4 linked regions of the Saccharomyces cerevisiae S288C genome follow. The protein of the gene in region 1 interacts with the protein of each later gene in a biochemical or structural test. Each region holds a gene or a part of one and is shown in the gene's direction. Other genes may lie near its edges.

What was found.
Region 2: the proteins of SRV2 (region 1) and CYR1 form a complex in vitro, tested with the Saccharomyces cerevisiae proteins (one study listed by BioGRID).
Region 3: the proteins of SRV2 (region 1) and ABP1 form a complex in vitro, tested with the Saccharomyces cerevisiae proteins (4 studies listed by BioGRID, with this or other methods).
Region 4: the proteins of SRV2 (region 1) and TWF1 form a complex in vitro, tested with the Saccharomyces cerevisiae proteins (one study listed by BioGRID).

The regions. Positions count from the first base shown.
Region 1 is NC_001146.8:364,985-368,821, forward strand, and holds SRV2 (adenylate cyclase-binding protein), read left to right. Parts: upstream 1-1,756; coding exon 1,757-3,337; downstream 3,338-3,837. Other genes in the region: THO2 (Tho2p), read right to left, coding at 1-733; U2 snRNP complex subunit YSF3, read left to right, coding at 1,049-1,051, 1,174-1,428; mitochondrial 37S ribosomal protein uS4m NAM9, read right to left, coding at 3,611-3,837. UniProt on the Saccharomyces cerevisiae protein: The N-terminal domain binds to adenylyl cyclase, thereby enabling adenylyl cyclase to be activated by upstream regulatory signals, such as Ras. The C-terminal domain is required for normal cellular morphology and growth control.
Region 2 is NC_001142.9:423,181-431,190, forward strand, and holds the start of CYR1 (adenylate cyclase), read left to right. Parts: upstream 1-1,976; coding exon 1,977-8,010. Other genes in the region: CTK2 (Ctk2p), read right to left, coding at 1-929.
Region 3 is NC_001135.5:263,147-267,402, forward strand, and holds ABP1 (Abp1p), read left to right. Parts: upstream 1-1,921; coding exon 1,922-3,700; downstream 3,701-4,256. Other genes in the region: YCR085W (uncharacterized protein), read left to right, coding at 1-123; CSM1 (Csm1p), read left to right, coding at 246-818; YCR087C-A (uncharacterized protein), read right to left, coding at 860-1,321. UniProt on the Saccharomyces cerevisiae protein: Regulates ARP2/3 complex-mediated actin assembly. Recruits ARP2/3 complex to sides of preexisting actin filaments, which may promote nucleation or stabilization of filament branches. Binds to actin filaments, but not actin monomers.
Region 4 is NC_001139.9:640,196-643,564, forward strand, and holds TWF1 (twinfilin TWF1), read left to right. Parts: upstream 1-1,814; coding exon 1,815-2,813; downstream 2,814-3,369. Other genes in the region: tubulin-binding prefolding complex subunit PAC10, read right to left, coding at 1-176; YGR079W (uncharacterized protein), read left to right, coding at 525-1,637; SLX9 (Slx9p), read right to left, coding at 2,953-3,369. UniProt on the Saccharomyces cerevisiae protein: Actin-binding protein involved in motile and morphological processes. Inhibits actin polymerization, likely by sequestering G-actin.

The DNA.
Region 1 (3,837 bases):
GAGCAATAAAGAACTTGTACCCTTCAGTGATAAACTGACTAGAAACGTTCAAAATAACATCTAAAGTACGAATAGAATCCAAGGAATATTTCCCCATAATATGATAGATTTCTTTCAAATATGCGGACACTTTGGAAAAATTGTCGGGATCATAATACGCCAATATTAATAAGGCTACCAATTGACCATAACCCACTGAATTTTCTACCAAAAGGTTATATTTCTTCAGTTCGTATTTTGACTTTTTTAACAAATGCCTTAATAAGGTGGTTTGTTCCTTGTTGAGCAGCTTAGAGGATATCCAACTAAATTTGAACAATTCTTCATGCAACGACGGTATTAGTTTACATAATGATATGGTTGTTAGATCATTTATATTTGGAACAGTGCTTGAGACGGCGATAAACATTTTACCAACTATGGAAGCCTGGGACACTTGCCTTTCATGATTCACTAATTCATTAGTAAATGATGCAACATCAGAAAGCTTGAGGGGAGAATTTTCATCGTTTTTATTTATGAAATCAAACAGTTCAATAAACAAAGTCCTCAACCAGTCTTCCTTTTCATCATTTGACTCCAGTGCAGTGAAATCGGAGCAGAGAGTTTTTGATCGTTCAGGCCAGTTTCGTATCACCTCTTCCGTTAAAATGCTTGCCTGACTAGGGGAAGCTGGTGGTATCACTTTTTGAGAAAGAGCGTTCAATTTGGAAAGTAGCGTCTGTTCTGCCATAAAGTCCTGAAAATGTATACTGGTGCGAATATGTATCAACTGAAACCGTTTCACCCTATTATGCTTTAGATAAAGACGATAAAATCACAGCCCTATAATTTATGCAACAGTGTTTGCTTCTAAATCAACGTGTTCCCTGGGCATAAACTCTCATACGTTATGTCGCTATTGAAGAAATAGCGGAAAATCTTACGCCGAAGTTAGCGTTGTCACCCGGGAAGAAGAGAAGAACATAAGCCTTCTCATTCAGAACATGTAAATAGTGGCTAAAATGGTTATATTACACAATTCGAAACAGTGAAATTAAGAAAAGAAATGGTATGTTACGTTCTATTGCGCTTTAGTTTGAATTGAAATCATCTTTACCATGGTACTAACTACGCTTGCGATGAATCGTGCAAGTCCGTGCGGCTTATACGTAATGCTAATACTCAAAACAGGCGGAAAAGCAGAGGCAGTTGAAGTTGCAGAAGATATACAAACAAAAGTACATCGGACTGGGAGATGAGAGCACTACACGAGAACAGTGGCAGAGAAATGTGAGAAACGATACACTAAATACATTACAAGGCCACTCCGCATCTTTGGAGTACGTTTCATTGAGCCGAGGAGACCTTAGTATACGTGACACTCGTATTCACCTCCTGAAATCCATGTCCCCTGGCTATAAAGCCTACTTACGAGAAGAGAGGTAGGACGTTGAAGCCACATCCATAAATAATTTTTACATAAAATTACGCCTCGTATGTCGTTCTCAAGATTTATGGTAGAGATCACACTCAGTCAGTAACCTTTTAGGCATTGATTCTAGTAACTGTCGAACATTATTAACCTTGATGTTTATATAAAGATATAAAATGTTGGGACAGTATACAATTCATATCGTTTAAAATGATCTATACATGTCGCGTGAAGTCATAAACAGGGATTTAGAAGTGAAATCTTTTGGTAGTATAGGGGAAAACTCAGCTTGAAACTTTTCGTAATTGAGTAGGCCAAGTTGCAACCGTGTGAAATCGAATCATGCCTGACTCTAAGTACACAATGCAAGGTTATAACCTTGTTAAGCTATTAAAAAGGCTAGAAGAAGCCACTGCAAGATTAGAGGATGTCACCATCTATCAAGAAGGTTATATTCAGAATAAATTGGAGGCATCTAAAAATAACAAGCCTTCCGACTCCGGGGCCGATGCGAATACTACGAATGAACCTTCTGCAGAAAATGCTCCTGAAGTAGAACAAGATCCGAAATGCATAACTGCGTTCCAATCTTACATCGGTGAGAATATTGATCCGCTGGTAGAATTATCAGGAAAGATCGACACGGTGGTCTTAGATGCTTTGCAGTTGCTAAAGGGAGGCTTTCAATCGCAATTGACTTTTTTAAGAGCTGCTGTGAGATCAAGAAAACCGGATTATTCTTCTCAAACTTTCGCTGATTCTTTAAGACCTATCAACGAAAATATTATAAAGCTGGGTCAATTGAAGGAATCAAACCGTCAAAGCAAATACTTCGCATATTTGAGCGCTTTATCTGAGGGTGCTCCTTTGTTCTCCTGGGTTGCAGTGGACACTCCCGTGTCTATGGTCACAGATTTCAAGGACGCAGCACAGTTTTGGACTAATAGAATTTTGAAAGAATACAGAGAGTCTGATCCTAATGCTGTTGAATGGGTTAAGAAATTTTTGGCCTCTTTCGATAATTTGAAAGCCTACATTAAAGAGTATCATACTACTGGGGTTTCCTGGAAAAAAGACGGTATGGATTTTGCTGACGCGATGGCACAATCAACGAAGAATACAGGTGCTACTTCATCTCCTTCGCCAGCAAGTGCTACAGCGGCTCCAGCACCACCACCTCCTCCACCAGCCCCACCAGCTTCCGTCTTTGAAATCTCTAATGATACACCAGCAACGAGTAGTGATGCTAACAAAGGCGGTATTGGCGCGGTCTTCGCCGAACTAAATCAGGGTGAAAATATCACTAAGGGTTTGAAAAAAGTAGACAAATCCCAACAAACTCACAAAAATCCTGAATTACGTCAATCCTCTACAGTTTCTTCCACAGGAAGTAAATCCGGTCCACCACCAAGGCCAAAAAAGCCATCAACATTGAAAACTAAGAGGCCTCCTAGAAAGGAATTGGTAGGAAACAAATGGTTTATTGAGAATTACGAAAATGAAACTGAATCTCTGGTTATTGATGCAAATAAAGATGAGTCTATCTTCATAGGTAAATGTTCTCAAGTTCTTGTTCAAATAAAAGGAAAAGTTAACGCTATCTCGTTGAGTGAAACTGAGTCATGCAGTGTTGTTCTTGATTCTAGCATTTCCGGTATGGATGTCATCAAATCCAACAAGTTTGGCATTCAAGTTAACCATTCCCTACCTCAAATCTCCATTGATAAATCTGACGGCGGTAACATCTATTTATCCAAGGAATCCTTGAATACTGAAATCTACACCTCGTGCTCAACTGCTATTAACGTCAACTTACCAATCGGCGAGGACGATGATTACGTAGAATTCCCAATCCCTGAACAGATGAAGCATAGCTTCGCTGATGGTAAGTTCAAATCTGCTGTTTTCGAACATGCTGGTTAATATTGCGAGGAGCATTAATTGTATTTAGTTAAAAGAAATAAATCACATTTGAATCAATCAGAAAGAAAAGTGAATGAATAAACAATTATATACTTTTTGTAAAACCTTTTTTTCATGTGTAACCTTTTCTTAAAGAAGTAACAGGAAAACGAGGAGCGACTAAGTGACTACTTGATCGTTCGAGTAGAACTTAAAAACAAAAAAAATTAAATATTTACAGTGTAAAGAGAGGCTGAAGATCAGTCAAAAGACGCGTGCAACAATACACGACGATCATTTACCATTTCTCAAGTAATACATATATGCACGTTCATGAACAGGAACATCAAATGGTGAAATTACTTCGGATTGGCCTGGTCGAGCGACGGGATCCCTTAGGTATACAGCGTGGCATGTCTTGAAAGATATTTCCAAATGATGAGGTAAAATGGCGAAAGGCGATAAAAATGGTCTTGGCTTCCATGGTGTGAAAAAGGGTTTTTTAGGATCTTGCCTACCAT
Region 2 (8,010 bases), on another chromosome or scaffold:
ATTAGCTCCAGTGAAAGTACATATCTTCTTTCTTGGACATTATTATCTCTAGTAATAGTGATATAAGGATCGGCATTCAACAGGTGATCTGGTATTTGCGGCAATCCAGATTCTGGTCCTGCGTTTTTTTTCAGTTCCATAAACCTTTCAACGCCAATCGGCAGCAAATCAGCCGGTAAATGACGTTGTAGATCGCACATATCGAATGAATTGATGTAAAAATTGACTATATCAAAATAAGCTTCATTTACGGATTTCTCGTCTGTTTCAAATAAAGAATACCTTTTACTTGACCAATTCTTATTATCTAGTAATTCATATGCTATTTTCAAAATGGCCAATGCAATGGAATGTTGGGGTATGACTAAAATAGTTTCTAGCTTCAAAGCATCATAAGCAATTACCCAAGCCAGATTGCACAACTTATAATCAAAGGATAGCTCCCTACCAATTTTTATAACATATTCATCAATATGAACGTAATTGTTGACTCTATAATCGAATGAGCATGACTCTAATATCCGAAGTTCTATTTGAAATACCCTTTTTTTAAAATTTTCCAAAATGTCCGTATTGATTTTAACCACATTCCTCAATCGTAATGACAAAGTACATATATCATTTGTTTTTTTAATTGTCTCAACTTCTTTACAGCCCAAAGTCAGGCAGCTTGTCGCTACAGTGTAGCAAACCTCGGTCTCGAAGCGATTAAAGAGGTGGTATCTTTGGTAAAAGTATACTGCTGTTTCTAAAGTCTTCCGTGGAAATTTCAGCTGAACACACAAGTCACTTAGAAATTTGAACACGGCAAGTTTTTTCTGGTTGTAATTTCGATAGTCCGATATTGTATTCTTTTGGGCTCTTTGAATTTGCCTTTTAGACAGAAACGGTCTCGAAAAAAAAAGCTGGGATTCAAACGTGCTAGGCATATCAAAGTACGTAATTTTCTTAGTTTTGCTGGCTCTATATCTCCTCTCGCTCTATAGATACAGATATATATATATATATATATATATCTATGTGTATAAAGACGGCTTTCAGGACAGTACTTGTTTGGATTTTTGATCATCGCGGATTTTCGCAATGCAAGTATAAAGAGAGCATTACCCGCCACACAGTGATTCTTCAGCAAGTTGTACCGAAAAGGACCATTTAGGTACGTGGGATCGCAAAGGTTCCCAAACGGTGTGCATCAAGCCGTAGACTTCATGAGTGCTTTCGGTGCAGCAAAAAGATAAGGACAAAAAATACTGAAGGATGCGAGGTTCGAACTCGCGCGGACAACCGTCCAACAGATCTTAAGTCTGCCGCCTTAGACCACTCGGCCAACCCTCCATCTTATTTAAAAATCCTAGGAAATAGATGTTATATAAGTCATACATCATTGAAAACATCAAATACCGTTCCCTGCGTTGTTCTACAGAAAAGCGCATTAGAGTAGGTCATACCCTTTAAAAAATGATTTTGTAAATGCCAGAAAGTAAACAAATATGCATTTCGCCTAGCTCCCAATGTAAATAGCCATAAAAAAGGATAAAATGCCAGATTTAGAGTCAGTTCTCGTTCTTCTTCTTCTCTGTGTTCAATTGTTCAATTGCATTGTTAATCACTGAAATTCTATGTTTCAAATTGGAATGGCAGACTGAACTGAGACCTTCCTTACTTTCTCCTCTATCAAACCTAAATATTCAATCATAACCTTATTTTTTCACTTCCTTTTTCTTACTTTTTTTTTTTTTTTTTTTTTGTATTTTGGAAGGAAAGCAGGGGGGACTTACCATAAGAAAAGCGACTCTAAAAAAGTGTATTTTCTTCCAAAGTTCAGTAAAGACAGCTGGGAAGTATAGTAACAGAGGAGAGAAAGCATAAGGAGACCTCTTGCTGCAGTTCACAACCAAAAATAGCATATCTTTACTATTGTCGCTAACCATTGCGAAACGAGCTAAAGCAACAGCAAACGAAATCCCTAGGTCGAAATGTCATCAAAACCTGATACTGGTTCGGAAATTTCTGGCCCTCAGCGACAGGAAGAACAAGAACAACAGATAGAGCAGAGCTCACCTACGGAAGCAAACGATAGAAGCATTCATGATGAGGTACCAAAAGTCAAGAAGCGTCACGAACAAAATAGTGGTCACAAATCAAGAAGGAATAGCGCATATAGTTATTACAGCCCACGGTCGCTTTCTATGACCAAAAGCAGGGAGAGTATCACTCCAAATGGTATGGATGATGTAAGTATTTCGAACGTGGAACATCCAAGGCCGACAGAACCGAAAATCAAAAGGGGTCCATATTTACTGAAGAAAACATTGAGCAGTCTTTCAATGACGAGCGCGAATAGTACTCATGATGATAATAAAGACCACGGTTACGCTTTGAATTCATCCAAGACGCACAACTACACATCTACTCATAACCATCATGACGGTCATCATGATCATCATCATGTTCAGTTTTTTCCCAATAGGAAGCCATCATTAGCGGAAACCCTATTCAAAAGGTTTTCAGGGTCAAACAGTCACGATGGCAATAAGTCAGGAAAGGAAAGTAAAGTTGCTAACCTTTCCCTTTCAACGGTAAATCCTGCACCTGCTAATAGGAAACCTTCTAAAGACTCCACTTTATCTAATCACTTGGCTGATAACGTGCCAAGCACTTTACGAAGGAAAGTGTCCTCATTGGTACGTGGTTCTTCCGTCCATGATATAAATAATGGTATTGCAGATAAACAGATTAGACCAAAGGCTGTTGCGCAATCAGAAAATACATTACATTCATCCGATGTTCCCAATAGCAAACGCTCGCACAGAAAAAGCTTTCTGCTAGGCTCCACATCTTCTTCAAGCAGTAGAAGAGGTTCAAATGTCAGTTCAATGACTAACAGTGACAGTGCAAGTATGGCGACGTCGGGTAGTCATGTTCTCCAACATAACGTATCTAATGTTTCTCCAACTACTAAAAGTAAGGACAGCGTTAACAGCGAATCCGCCGATCACACTAATAATAAATCCGAGAAAGTGACTCCAGAATATAATGAGAACATTCCGGAAAATTCTAACTCTGACAACAAACGCGAAGCCACAACGCCTACTATAGAAACACCCATTTCATGTAAACCATCCCTTTTCAGGCTAGATACAAACCTTGAGGATGTTACTGATATTACAAAGACGGTGCCACCCACCGCTGTCAATTCTACACTAAATTCTACACACGGGACTGAGACTGCCTCACCCAAAACGGTGATCATGCCTGAAGGTCCTAGGAAGTCGGTGTCAATGGCTGATCTCTCCGTCGCTGCCGCAGCACCTAATGGTGAATTCACATCAACTTCCAATGATAGATCACAATGGGTAGCACCTCAAAGCTGGGATGTGGAAACCAAAAGGAAAAAAACAAAACCTAAAGGGAGATCGAAATCAAGAAGGTCAAGTATAGATGCTGATGAACTTGATCCCATGTCACCGGGGCCACCTTCAAAAAAAGACTCTCGTCATCATCACGATCGAAAGGATAACGAATCAATGGTCACTGCGGGTGACAGTAACTCAAGTTTTGTTGATATATGTAAAGAAAACGTTCCGAATGATAGCAAGACCGCACTCGATACTAAATCTGTGAACCGCTTAAAAAGTAATTTGGCTATGAGTCCCCCAAGTATACGATATGCTCCATCAAATTTAGATGGGGACTACGACACGTCTTCCACTTCCTCATCTTTACCGTCCTCATCTATTAGTTCAGAAGATACATCTTCCTGCAGCGATTCCTCTTCGTACACTAACGCGTATATGGAGGCCAACCGAGAGCAGGATAATAAAACACCGATCCTGAATAAAACGAAATCGTATACCAAGAAATTTACATCCTCTTCGGTAAATATGAATTCACCAGATGGTGCCCAGAGTTCTGGATTATTACTACAAGATGAGAAGGACGATGAGGTCGAGTGCCAACTGGAACATTACTATAAAGATTTCAGTGATTTAGATCCAAAGAGGCACTATGCTATTCGTATATTCAATACTGATGACACTTTTACGACTCTCTCATGTACTCCAGCGACTACCGTCGAAGAGATAATACCTGCACTTAAAAGAAAATTTAACATTACAGCGCAAGGGAATTTTCAAATTTCCCTGAAGGTGGGAAAGTTGTCAAAAATTTTGAGACCAACTTCGAAACCTATTTTAATTGAAAGAAAACTTTTACTTTTGAATGGTTATCGAAAGTCAGACCCACTTCATATTATGGGTATAGAGGATTTAAGTTTTGTTTTTAAGTTTCTTTTCCATCCTGTCACACCTTCTCACTTTACTCCTGAACAAGAACAAAGAATAATGAGAAGCGAATTTGTTCACGTAGATTTAAGGAATATGGATCTGACTACACCTCCCATCATTTTTTACCAGCATACGTCAGAAATAGAAAGTTTAGACGTTTCTAATAACGCAAATATATTCCTACCTCTGGAGTTCATTGAAAGCTCGATTAAATTATTAAGTTTGAGAATGGTTAATATTAGAGCATCTAAATTTCCTTCCAATATCACTAAGGCGTATAAACTAGTATCTTTGGAATTACAGAGAAACTTCATAAGAAAAGTACCGAACTCAATCATGAAACTGAGTAATTTAACGATATTAAACCTTCAATGTAATGAGCTTGAAAGCCTACCGGCTGGATTTGTTGAACTGAAAAATCTGCAATTGCTAGACTTGTCTTCAAACAAGTTCATGCACTACCCAGAAGTTATTAACTACTGCACCAATCTTTTACAAATAGACCTATCATATAATAAAATCCAAAGCTTACCACAGTCCACTAAGTACCTAGTAAAGCTTGCGAAGATGAACCTTTCTCATAACAAACTAAATTTTATAGGCGACTTATCGGAAATGACAGATTTGAGGACGCTGAACCTAAGATATAACAGAATATCATCAATTAAGACAAATGCGTCTAACTTGCAGAACCTTTTTTTAACAGATAATAGAATTTCGAACTTTGAAGACACTTTGCCGAAACTAAGAGCCCTTGAAATTCAAGAGAATCCAATCACTTCTATATCCTTCAAAGATTTTTATCCAAAAAACATGACAAGTTTGACGTTGAACAAGGCACAGTTATCGAGTATTCCTGGAGAATTACTCACCAAACTATCTTTCCTCGAGAAACTTGAACTTAATCAGAATAATTTGACTAGACTGCCACAGGAGATATCCAAGTTGACTAAATTAGTTTTCCTTTCAGTGGCGAGAAACAAACTAGAGTATATTCCACCCGAGCTATCTCAACTGAAAAGTTTGAGGACATTAGATCTACATTCTAACAACATAAGGGACTTTGTTGACGGTATGGAAAACCTTGAACTAACATCGCTAAATATTTCATCGAATGCATTCGGTAACTCTAGCTTAGAAAATTCTTTTTACCATAACATGTCATATGGGTCAAAGTTATCTAAAAGCCTGATGTTTTTTATTGCTGCAGACAATCAATTTGATGATGCTATGTGGCCTCTTTTCAATTGCTTTGTCAATCTGAAAGTGCTAAATCTTTCTTACAACAATTTTTCAGATGTATCGCACATGAAACTTGAGAGCATTACCGAATTGTACCTCTCCGGTAATAAGCTCACGACATTGTCGGGTGATACAGTTTTGAAATGGAGCTCTTTAAAGACTTTAATGTTGAATAGTAACCAAATGTTATCTCTGCCTGCAGAATTATCAAATCTCTCACAGCTAAGTGTATTTGATGTTGGAGCAAATCAATTAAAGTATAATATATCAAACTATCATTACGATTGGAACTGGAGGAATAATAAAGAACTAAAATATTTGAATTTTTCAGGAAATCGAAGGTTTGAAATAAAGTCATTTATAAGTCACGATATTGATGCTGATTTGTCAGATCTGACAGTATTACCTCAGTTAAAGGTACTAGGTTTAATGGACGTAACTTTAAATACTACCAAAGTACCGGATGAAAATGTCAATTTCCGTTTAAGGACAACTGCATCAATAATAAATGGGATGCGCTACGGTGTTGCTGATACATTAGGTCAAAGAGACTATGTGTCATCTCGTGATGTTACCTTTGAAAGATTCCGCGGAAATGACGACGAATGCTTACTATGTCTTCATGATAGTAAAAACCAAAATGCAGATTATGGCCACAATATATCAAGAATTGTTAGAGATATTTACGATAAAATACTGATCAGACAACTGGAAAGGTATGGAGACGAAACAGATGATAATATAAAAACTGCACTTCGTTTCAGTTTTTTGCAACTGAATAAGGAGATTAACGGAATGCTAAATTCTGTTGATAATGGTGCCGATGTTGCCAATCTTTCATATGCAGACTTGCTAAGTGGCGCTTGCTCTACTGTGATATATATCAGAGGGAAGAAACTCTTCGCTGCAAATTTAGGTGACTGTATGGCTATTTTATCCAAAAACAATGGTGACTACCAAACGCTAACCAAACAACATCTCCCAACAAAGCGGGAAGAATACGAGAGGATCAGAATATCTGGCGGGTATGTCAACAATGGAAAATTAGATGGTGTTGTAGATGTGTCTAGAGCAGTGGGTTTTTTTGATTTGCTTCCCCACATTCATGCTTCTCCCGACATATCTGTCGTGACATTAACAAAAGCAGACGAGATGCTTATTGTAGCAACGCATAAGTTATGGGAATACATGGACGTGGATACAGTTTGTGATATCGCGCGTGAGAATAGTACTGATCCACTCCGTGCCGCAGCTGAGTTGAAGGATCATGCCATGGCTTACGGCTGTACAGAGAATATTACAATTTTGTGCCTTGCTCTTTACGAGAACATTCAGCAACAAAATCGGTTCACTTTAAATAAAAACTCTTTAATGACTAGAAGAAGTACTTTCGAGGATACTACATTAAGAAGACTTCAACCTGAGATTTCTCCGCCAACAGGTAACCTAGCAATGGTCTTCACTGATATCAAAAGCTCAACCTTCTTATGGGAGCTATTCCCTAACGCAATGAGGACCGCAATAAAAACTCACAATGACATTATGCGTCGTCAACTACGAATTTACGGTGGTTACGAAGTAAAGACAGAAGGAGACGCCTTTATGGTGGCATTTCCTACGCCAACTAGTGGTCTGACATGGTGCTTAAGTGTTCAATTAAAACTCTTGGATGCACAATGGCCGGAGGAAATTACCTCAGTTCAAGACGGCTGCCAAGTTACGGATAGAAATGGTAACATTATCTATCAAGGCCTATCAGTTAGAATGGGTATTCATTGGGGCTGCCCAGTTCCAGAGCTTGATTTAGTGACTCAAAGAATGGACTATTTGGGGCCGATGGTCAATAAGGCAGCAAGGGTCCAGGGCGTCGCTGACGGTGGTCAGATTGCAATGAGTAGTGATTTTTACTCTGAATTCAACAAGATAATGAAGTATCATGAGCGAGTAGTGAAGGGCAAGGAATCTCTCAAGGAAGTTTATGGTGAAGAAATTATCGGAGAGGTTCTTGAAAGAGAAATTGCCATGCTGGAAAGTATTGGTTGGGCATTTTTTGACTTTGGCGAGCATAAGCTAAAGGGACTCGAAACCAAAGAACTCGTTACTATTGCGTATCCTAAGATTCTTGCTTCCAGACACGAATTTGCATCTGAAGATGAGCAGTCAAAATTAATCAATGAAACGATGTTGTTTCGTTTAAGAGTCATTTCAAACAGACTGGAATCTATAATGTCAGCTTTAAGCGGCGGATTTATTGAACTAGACTCTCGGACGGAGGGAAGTTATATTAAATTTAACCCTAAAGTTGAAAATGGTATTATGCAATCGATTTCTGAGAAGGATGCGTTGTTATTTTTTGATCATGTAATTACTAGAATCGAATCCAGTGTGGCATTATTACATTTACGACAACAGAGGTGTTCAGGACTGGAAATTTGCAGAAACGATAAAACATCTGCTCGAAGCAATATTTTCAATGTTGTTG
Region 3 (4,256 bases), on another chromosome or scaffold:
GTGAAGAAGGGCGGCCTCATTATGGCTCGCCTTATTCTGTTCACCCTCTGCGCTCTTCCCGTATTATTTCATTTTATTTTGTTTATGCTTCAATATCTTGTATTTGTTTACATTGAAAAATGATTGGAAAAAGGTCACATTGAAATCAAAACAGTGAAGAAGCAGACAGACAAGAAGGTCATTAGATAGATAAACAGGAACAATAAAAAAAAGAAAGCGAAACAAGACAATCCAACGTGCGCAAAATGGATCCATTGACTGTATACAAAAACTCAGTGAAACAACAGATCGATTCCGCAGACTTACTAGTGGCAAATTTGGTAAATGAGAATTTCGTACTGTCGGAGAAGCTGGATACAAAAGCAACCGAGATCAAACAGCTGCAGAAGCAGATAGACTCGCTAAACGCACAAGTCAAGGAGCTGAAGACTCAGACTTCCCAACAGGCAGAAAATTCAGAAGTCATAAAGGACCTTTACGAGTACCTCTGTAACGTACGTGTACATAAAAGCTACGAGGATGATTCTGGGTTGTGGTTCGACATCTCGCAGGGCACCCACTCAGGGGGATCTTCCGATGATTATTCGATAATGGACTATAAACTCGGATTTGTCAAGGGCCAGGCCCAAGTCACAGAAGTCATATATGCGCCCGTTCTTAAACAGCGATCCACCGAGGAACTATACTCGCTACAGTCGAAACTACCGGAATACCTCTTCGAAACGTTGAGTTTCCCCCTCTCGTCGCTAAACCAATTCTATAACAAAATCGCTAAAAGCCTGAATAAGAAAAGAGAGAAAAAAGATGAAACCGAGTAAGCTGCTACATAATGTCTATATATCTACACATAAAATTCCGATTATTCCTTTGCATACCTGATTTGCCCCTCAGAATCCACAACCAGACTTTTCAAGAAGGTCTTTTTTGCCCCTTTATCCTTCATGGTTTTCAAAATTTTGTACAACGACTTGCCCTTGTGAAGCTCGATACCGTTCGAGGTCTTTTCCACTTTCTCTGCCTTCTTGATCACAGGCTTCTCCACTTTCTTTGCAGGAGTTGCCACTGGCTGGTGCTGGTGCTGCTTCTGCTGCTGCTTCTGCTGCTGCTTCTGCTTCTGCTTCTTGTTGCCCTTGTACAACGCTTTCTGGTACTTCTCGTCCTCGCTGATGCAAGACGTGTGATTCTTGTAACTCACGCCATCTTCAAACGTCTTGGAGCAATCTATGCATGTATAGTACGCGTTAGGACATCTATAATAATGCTTTTCGGTATTCTTCTTGGGCACAGTATCATTACACACCTCACAGTTGAACGTAACCATCCTGTAATAACAAATATTTCTTGACTGAGACCGTTTGCTGTTGTATACAGAATACTCTTAGAGCTCATCGCAAGTTAAAAATTTTCAATTTTTTTTCACTTTTTCCCGTCAAGGCAAAAAGCAACCAAAAGAGAATGAACCTTTATTTTTGATTTATTTATTATGAGATGCTGCTAGTCCACTCATCTGCATCAATGTAGTAGTCACAAAGCTAATATTTAGACGTTACTTTGATATCTCTGTCCATGAGAGCACTTATTTTAGGAAGTTAAATGAGACAGTCAATAGTTCACAATATCCCGTCAGCAATGGAGGGAAAAGGCATTCCTTTTCCATAGGATTTTAATCGTTTTCAAGCATCATACGCCCTCGAGGAACTCTTGTTTTCGCTTTACTATGCAACCATTGATGTATTTCTGTATAAATGTGCGTCACGTGGCCTTGTGTCTCTTATTTCCACTTGTTTTTTCACAATGCGGAAAACCTCGATTAAAGTAGAAAAAAAGGATATAATAGGAGTATACCATATTGGATAGTTCAATCTATAAACAAACAATCGCATAACCGCACGTATATACACGCACACACCTATCAATCACAATGGCTTTGGAACCTATTGATTATACTACTCACTCGAGAGAGATCGACGCAGAGTACCTGAAGATTGTCAGAGGCTCCGATCCTGACACCACCTGGTTGATTATTTCACCCAATGCGAAAAAAGAATACGAACCTGAGTCTACCGGTTCCTCCTTTCACGATTTCTTGCAATTGTTTGATGAAACCAAGGTCCAGTACGGACTGGCACGTGTGTCCCCACCAGGGTCAGACGTTGAGAAGATTATTATCATTGGTTGGTGTCCTGATTCTGCGCCATTGAAGACAAGGGCCTCTTTCGCCGCCAATTTTGCTGCAGTTGCTAATAATCTGTTCAAGGGTTACCACGTTCAAGTTACCGCCAGAGACGAGGACGATCTTGACGAAAATGAACTGTTGATGAAAATCAGTAACGCGGCCGGTGCCCGTTATTCTATTCAGACTTCCTCCAAGCAACAGGGGAAGGCTTCCACTCCTCCCGTGAAGAAATCCTTCACACCTTCCAAGAGCCCTGCTCCAGTTTCTAAGAAGGAACCAGTCAAGACTCCTTCCCCAGCACCTGCTGCTAAGATTTCTTCCCGTGTTAACGACAACAATGACGACGACGATTGGAATGAGCCTGAATTAAAGGAACGCGACTTCGATCAGGCTCCCCTGAAACCAAATCAATCATCTTACAAACCAATTGGCAAAATCGACTTGCAAAAAGTGATTGCTGAAGAAAAGGCTAAGGAGGACCCACGTCTTGTTCAAAAGCCAACCGCTGCTGGTTCCAAGATTGATCCTAGTTCTGATATCGCTAATTTAAAGAACGAATCAAAATTAAAGAGGGACTCCGAGTTTAACTCCTTTTTGGGCACCACTAAACCCCCCTCCATGACGGAATCTTCATTAAAGAATGATGATGATAAAGTCATTAAGGGTTTTAGAAACGAGAAATCACCTGCTCAATTATGGGCCGAAAGAAAGGCAAAGCAAAACAGCGGCAACGCCGAAACTAAGGCTGAGGCACCAAAACCTGAAGTTCCAGAAGATGAGCCTGAAGGTGAACCTGACGTCAAAGATTTGAAATCAAAATTTGAAGGATTGGCCGCTTCAGAAAAAGAGGAGGAAGAAATGGAAAACAAATTTGCTCCTCCTCCAAAGAAATCAGAACCAACTATTATCTCACCAAAACCCTTCTCCAAGCCACAAGAACCTGTGAAAGCTGAAGAAGCCGAGCAGCCTAAGACTGATTACAAGAAGATCGGCAACCCATTACCCGGTATGCACATTGAAGCGGATAATGAGGAAGAACCAGAAGAGAATGATGATGACTGGGATGATGATGAAGACGAGGCTGCTCAACCTCCTTTGCCTTCGAGGAATGTTGCGTCAGGAGCACCAGTGCAAAAAGAAGAGCCTGAACAAGAAGAGATCGCCCCAAGCTTACCTTCTAGAAACTCGATCCCAGCTCCAAAACAAGAAGAAGCACCTGAACAAGCACCTGAAGAAGAAATTGAAGAAGAAGCTGAGGAAGCCGCTCCACAGCTGCCATCAAGAAGCTCTGCAGCTCCTCCTCCGCCTCCAAGACGAGCAACTCCAGAGAAAAAGCCAAAGGAAAATCCTTGGGCCACAGCAGAATATGATTACGATGCTGCAGAAGATAACGAACTGACCTTTGTGGAAAATGACAAGATTATCAATATTGAATTTGTCGACGATGACTGGTGGCTAGGGGAACTAGAGAAAGACGGCTCAAAAGGTCTCTTCCCCAGCAATTATGTGTCTTTGGGCAACTAGAATCACACGTCAGCGTCATGCTATTATATTATTCTTACGTAAAAAAATACTTACAGAGACGTTAAAGCTTTTGTATAGATACTTTCACGAGCCTTCCCTTTCAGTAAAATGAACAAATTATTTTGCCTTGTCCTTCTTTGTTTCAAGCGTTTATATGACTCCTCTACAGTATTATTTTTCAACAGACGGTGTGCCCGTACGGCGTTGTCAAAACCTCGAACATAAAACAACACTGAAACAAACTTATTGCACTCCTGCATCGCATACAGATCTGATACTTACTACAACCATAATGCTGTTTTAGAATCGCATCAGGTGTTTACCAGAAGTGTATGGTACATGGTGCTTTCCTTATGCTCACTATTTCGGATTTACTTCTAGTCTATGTATAGATTTGTTAGAGACCAGTTTTAAGCTACAATGGAACGTTAAGATTAAGAAATGCATGAAGAGTCTCCCAGTAGATATATAAAGCTGAATTAAATTCAGTACAATGGAAGTTTCCACGTCTTTCTGTATTTTCATACCTTTAATTATAGGAAAAGCACACTACAAA
Region 4 (3,369 bases), on another chromosome or scaffold:
ATCGTAGCCAATTTAGATTCCTGCATAAATTTGTACTTAGAAAGCCGTTCTTGGAACTTATTGAAGCACAATTCGAAGTCGCTTGGGTCCTTAATTATTTCGTTGACATTTTCGATGAATGGAGCCTGCGGTATGCCTCTGGCATTCTTTTCCGTGGAGTTGAACAGTGTGTCCATAATAACCGTAGTATCTGTTATATATGTGCGTACAGTTTTCTGCAGTAAATGTTGTCTACAATTTATAGCCTCTACAATAGTGTTAAACTAGATTTTTTCACTTTCTTTTCTGACCAGTTCTGCAAAATGATCGAAGAAACGAAACAAATCATGTGTTACCCGTCCTGCACAATCATGAGTGCCTGCGGTTTCCATATTGGAACGGCACCTTCCTTTTTTGGAAGTCACGTTCCTGCAGCGCGTTTCTTTTTTTTTTTTTTTTTTTTTTTTATTTTTCGGTTTTTTTCGCACGTTTCTTTTTGGTGAGCGAGAAAGCTCGTTGCCTCCTAATATAAAGGATGAGATGAGATGAGCAGTGCCGCAAATGAGGGATGTGTTTATTTGTTCATTGTCGTTTTGCGATTATCTTCGTTTTCATGTGTTAACTCATTCATTCATTCATTTACTCGTTCACGCACACGCAGCAGTTATTCCCTCGACGAGCGTTCACTTGTATCATATAGCATAGTTTACGTAGCAATGAATAAAAGCAGCAAGGCATTTCAGGTACCGAATAAGGTCATCACCAAGGAGGATATTACTCCCTTGTCCAGATCGCACACAAAGAAAGCGGACACTCGCGGGACAGCAGATGGTAAAAACACCACAGCCAGTGCAGTCGAGGCCACCCCAATCATCATCACCACTGCTCGTTCGATAGATACTGCCGGTTCACTATCTGAGAACGCCACCGAGGACGATGGCACCCAAAACGGAGATTTACACGATGATGACGATGATGACGACCTCGAAAGTACGCTCGGCTATAGTTCTGAGCCTGATCCTCTCTTCTCCCCATGCCACCAGCCTTCCTTCACCAACAGCACATTTAGTTACAGTGCGGACAATGAACTACCCATGGAGGAAAATCACAACAAGAATAATTTCCACGATAGCAGCGAGAGCAGTATCTTTCTACCACAGATACAGCAATCATTCTTTTTCGGCGACAATAGCAAGAGTGACGCAAATAATACGGACTTCTGGAAGGAAGTAAATGGCACTGCAGAAGAGGCCATTTGCCTGCAGGAGACAAGACAAAGAAAATGCTCCCTCGTGGCTCTGCATCCAGGCGACGCCACCACGAGTTCGAACGACACATTGGGAATAGAGGACTTCATCAAAGATGATATCAACAGTGCTGAAGCCATGGAACCCTCCCCATCTTCATCACCATCTTCCTCCCTTCTTGATAATTTGGACTACAATATCAAGTTATTGTGCTACAGAGACAATGAGGGCAAGTTCACCTTGAAAAAAAGGAAGTTTTTGAAGAATTCCCTGCGCTCATCCTCTGCAATTTCTAAAAAGTGGAAACCCTTGTCTAAAAGAGATAAGCTGTTGAAGAGGGCCATAAGAAGAAAGAGTGGTGTTTGCCAGACGTTATCAGCTGGTTTTGGTATCGGTGAATTCATGTTGTAATAACAGTACTATTAACAGTACAATAAATAGATTCTTTTTATACAGTGTTAGGGTAACTTGTTTTTGTAGGATTTGAAAAATATGTCATTATAAGATCTATATCTTTTACTATTTGGACAAGTTGGCTAATTTGATAGGCAATTGAATAAGAAGGAACTCTGTATCTCAACACATCACATGTCTACTCAATCCGGTATAGTCGCAGAACAAGCCTTGCTGCATTCTCTGAATGAAAATCTTTCAGCAGATGGCATCGTCATCATTATAGCCAAAATTTCCCCTGATTCTACCTCGGTACATCAAACGCAAGTCGCACGTAGCTTCGAGGAGCTGGTACAGTTGGCATCACAAGAAAGAGAACCGTTGTACATCTTCTATAAGCCGGAAGGGCTTGATAAGTACTTCTTTGTGTCATTCATCCCCGATGGTTCTCCGGTAAGATCAAGAATGCTTTATGCCTCGACGAAGAACACTCTGGCAAGACAGGTAGGTTCAAACTCTTTATCCACCGAACAGCCATTGATCACAGATGCACAGGACTTGGTGGATTTGAAAAATTTTGATAGTGCCCGTCCTGCTGGCCAGAATAAGCCCTTGACACATGATGAAGAAATGCAAATCGAAATCAATAAGCAACAGGCACTTTTAAGGAAAAACACATCCGTCAAGTTGGTTTCTCAGGACAGTGCTTCGCCTTTATCGTTAACTTTCAGGGTCAATTCTGAGAAACCTATCAATGAAATACTGGATAGCGAGGGTAAAAATTTAATCATATTTCAAATCGATCCCTCGAACGAAACCATCCAGATCGTGCAATCTGATACATGTCCCTCCGTAGATGAACTGTACATTGACTTGCCCGGGCCAAGTTACACGATTTTCAGGCAGGGTGATTCAAGTTTCTTTATCTACTCTTGTCCCTCTGGCAGCAAAGTCAAAGATAGAATGATATATGCTTCTAACAAGAATGGATTTATCAACTACTTGAAAAATGATCAAAAAATCGCATTTAGTAAAGTGGTAGAAATTGGCGATTTTGTGGAACTAGACAAGTCCTTACTTATGGCAACAAATAAAGAAGATAGCCTCGATCATGGATCCAATCCAGATCTCCCAAACAAAAGCAATTTGAAATTCAACAAACCAAAGGGCCCATTGAGGAAAAGAAGAACATAGAGATAGAAATGGCATCTATATATGTGTGACCAACAATACATACGTTTTTATTCTTCTAAATATGAAACTGAATGTTTTTCTAGGTTTGCTGGAATATATATTACACTGGCAAAAATTGTTATGCTATGCTATTTAATGTTCATTGTTTTTGCAGCTTGATAACCTCTCTTAAGGCGCCAAATGGATTTTTTTGGAAATCTTGATTGGTTAGGACCTGATTGAATCTTGCAGTTTCGTTAGCAGCCAATGCCTTTGCACCCTTTTGGTTCCTGATATTTGGCTGATTCTTTTTTATCCTAACAGAACCAGGTTCTATCTTTTTCAAGTTCATTTCCTTTGTGTCCACAAACCTTATTTTAGAATCCATGTCGATGTCATCATCGTTATTCATGTCTTTGCTACTATTTTCAATAATGCCCCGTAAATCCTTTTCTTGCTCCAAAGAAGTGAGCAGATCTTGCATTCTTGGTTTTAGTTCTTCTCTTAGCTTTCTTTTCCTACGTCTAATGGAAGATTTAGAAATACCATCAAAATTGGCAGCTATGCCATCGTTAAG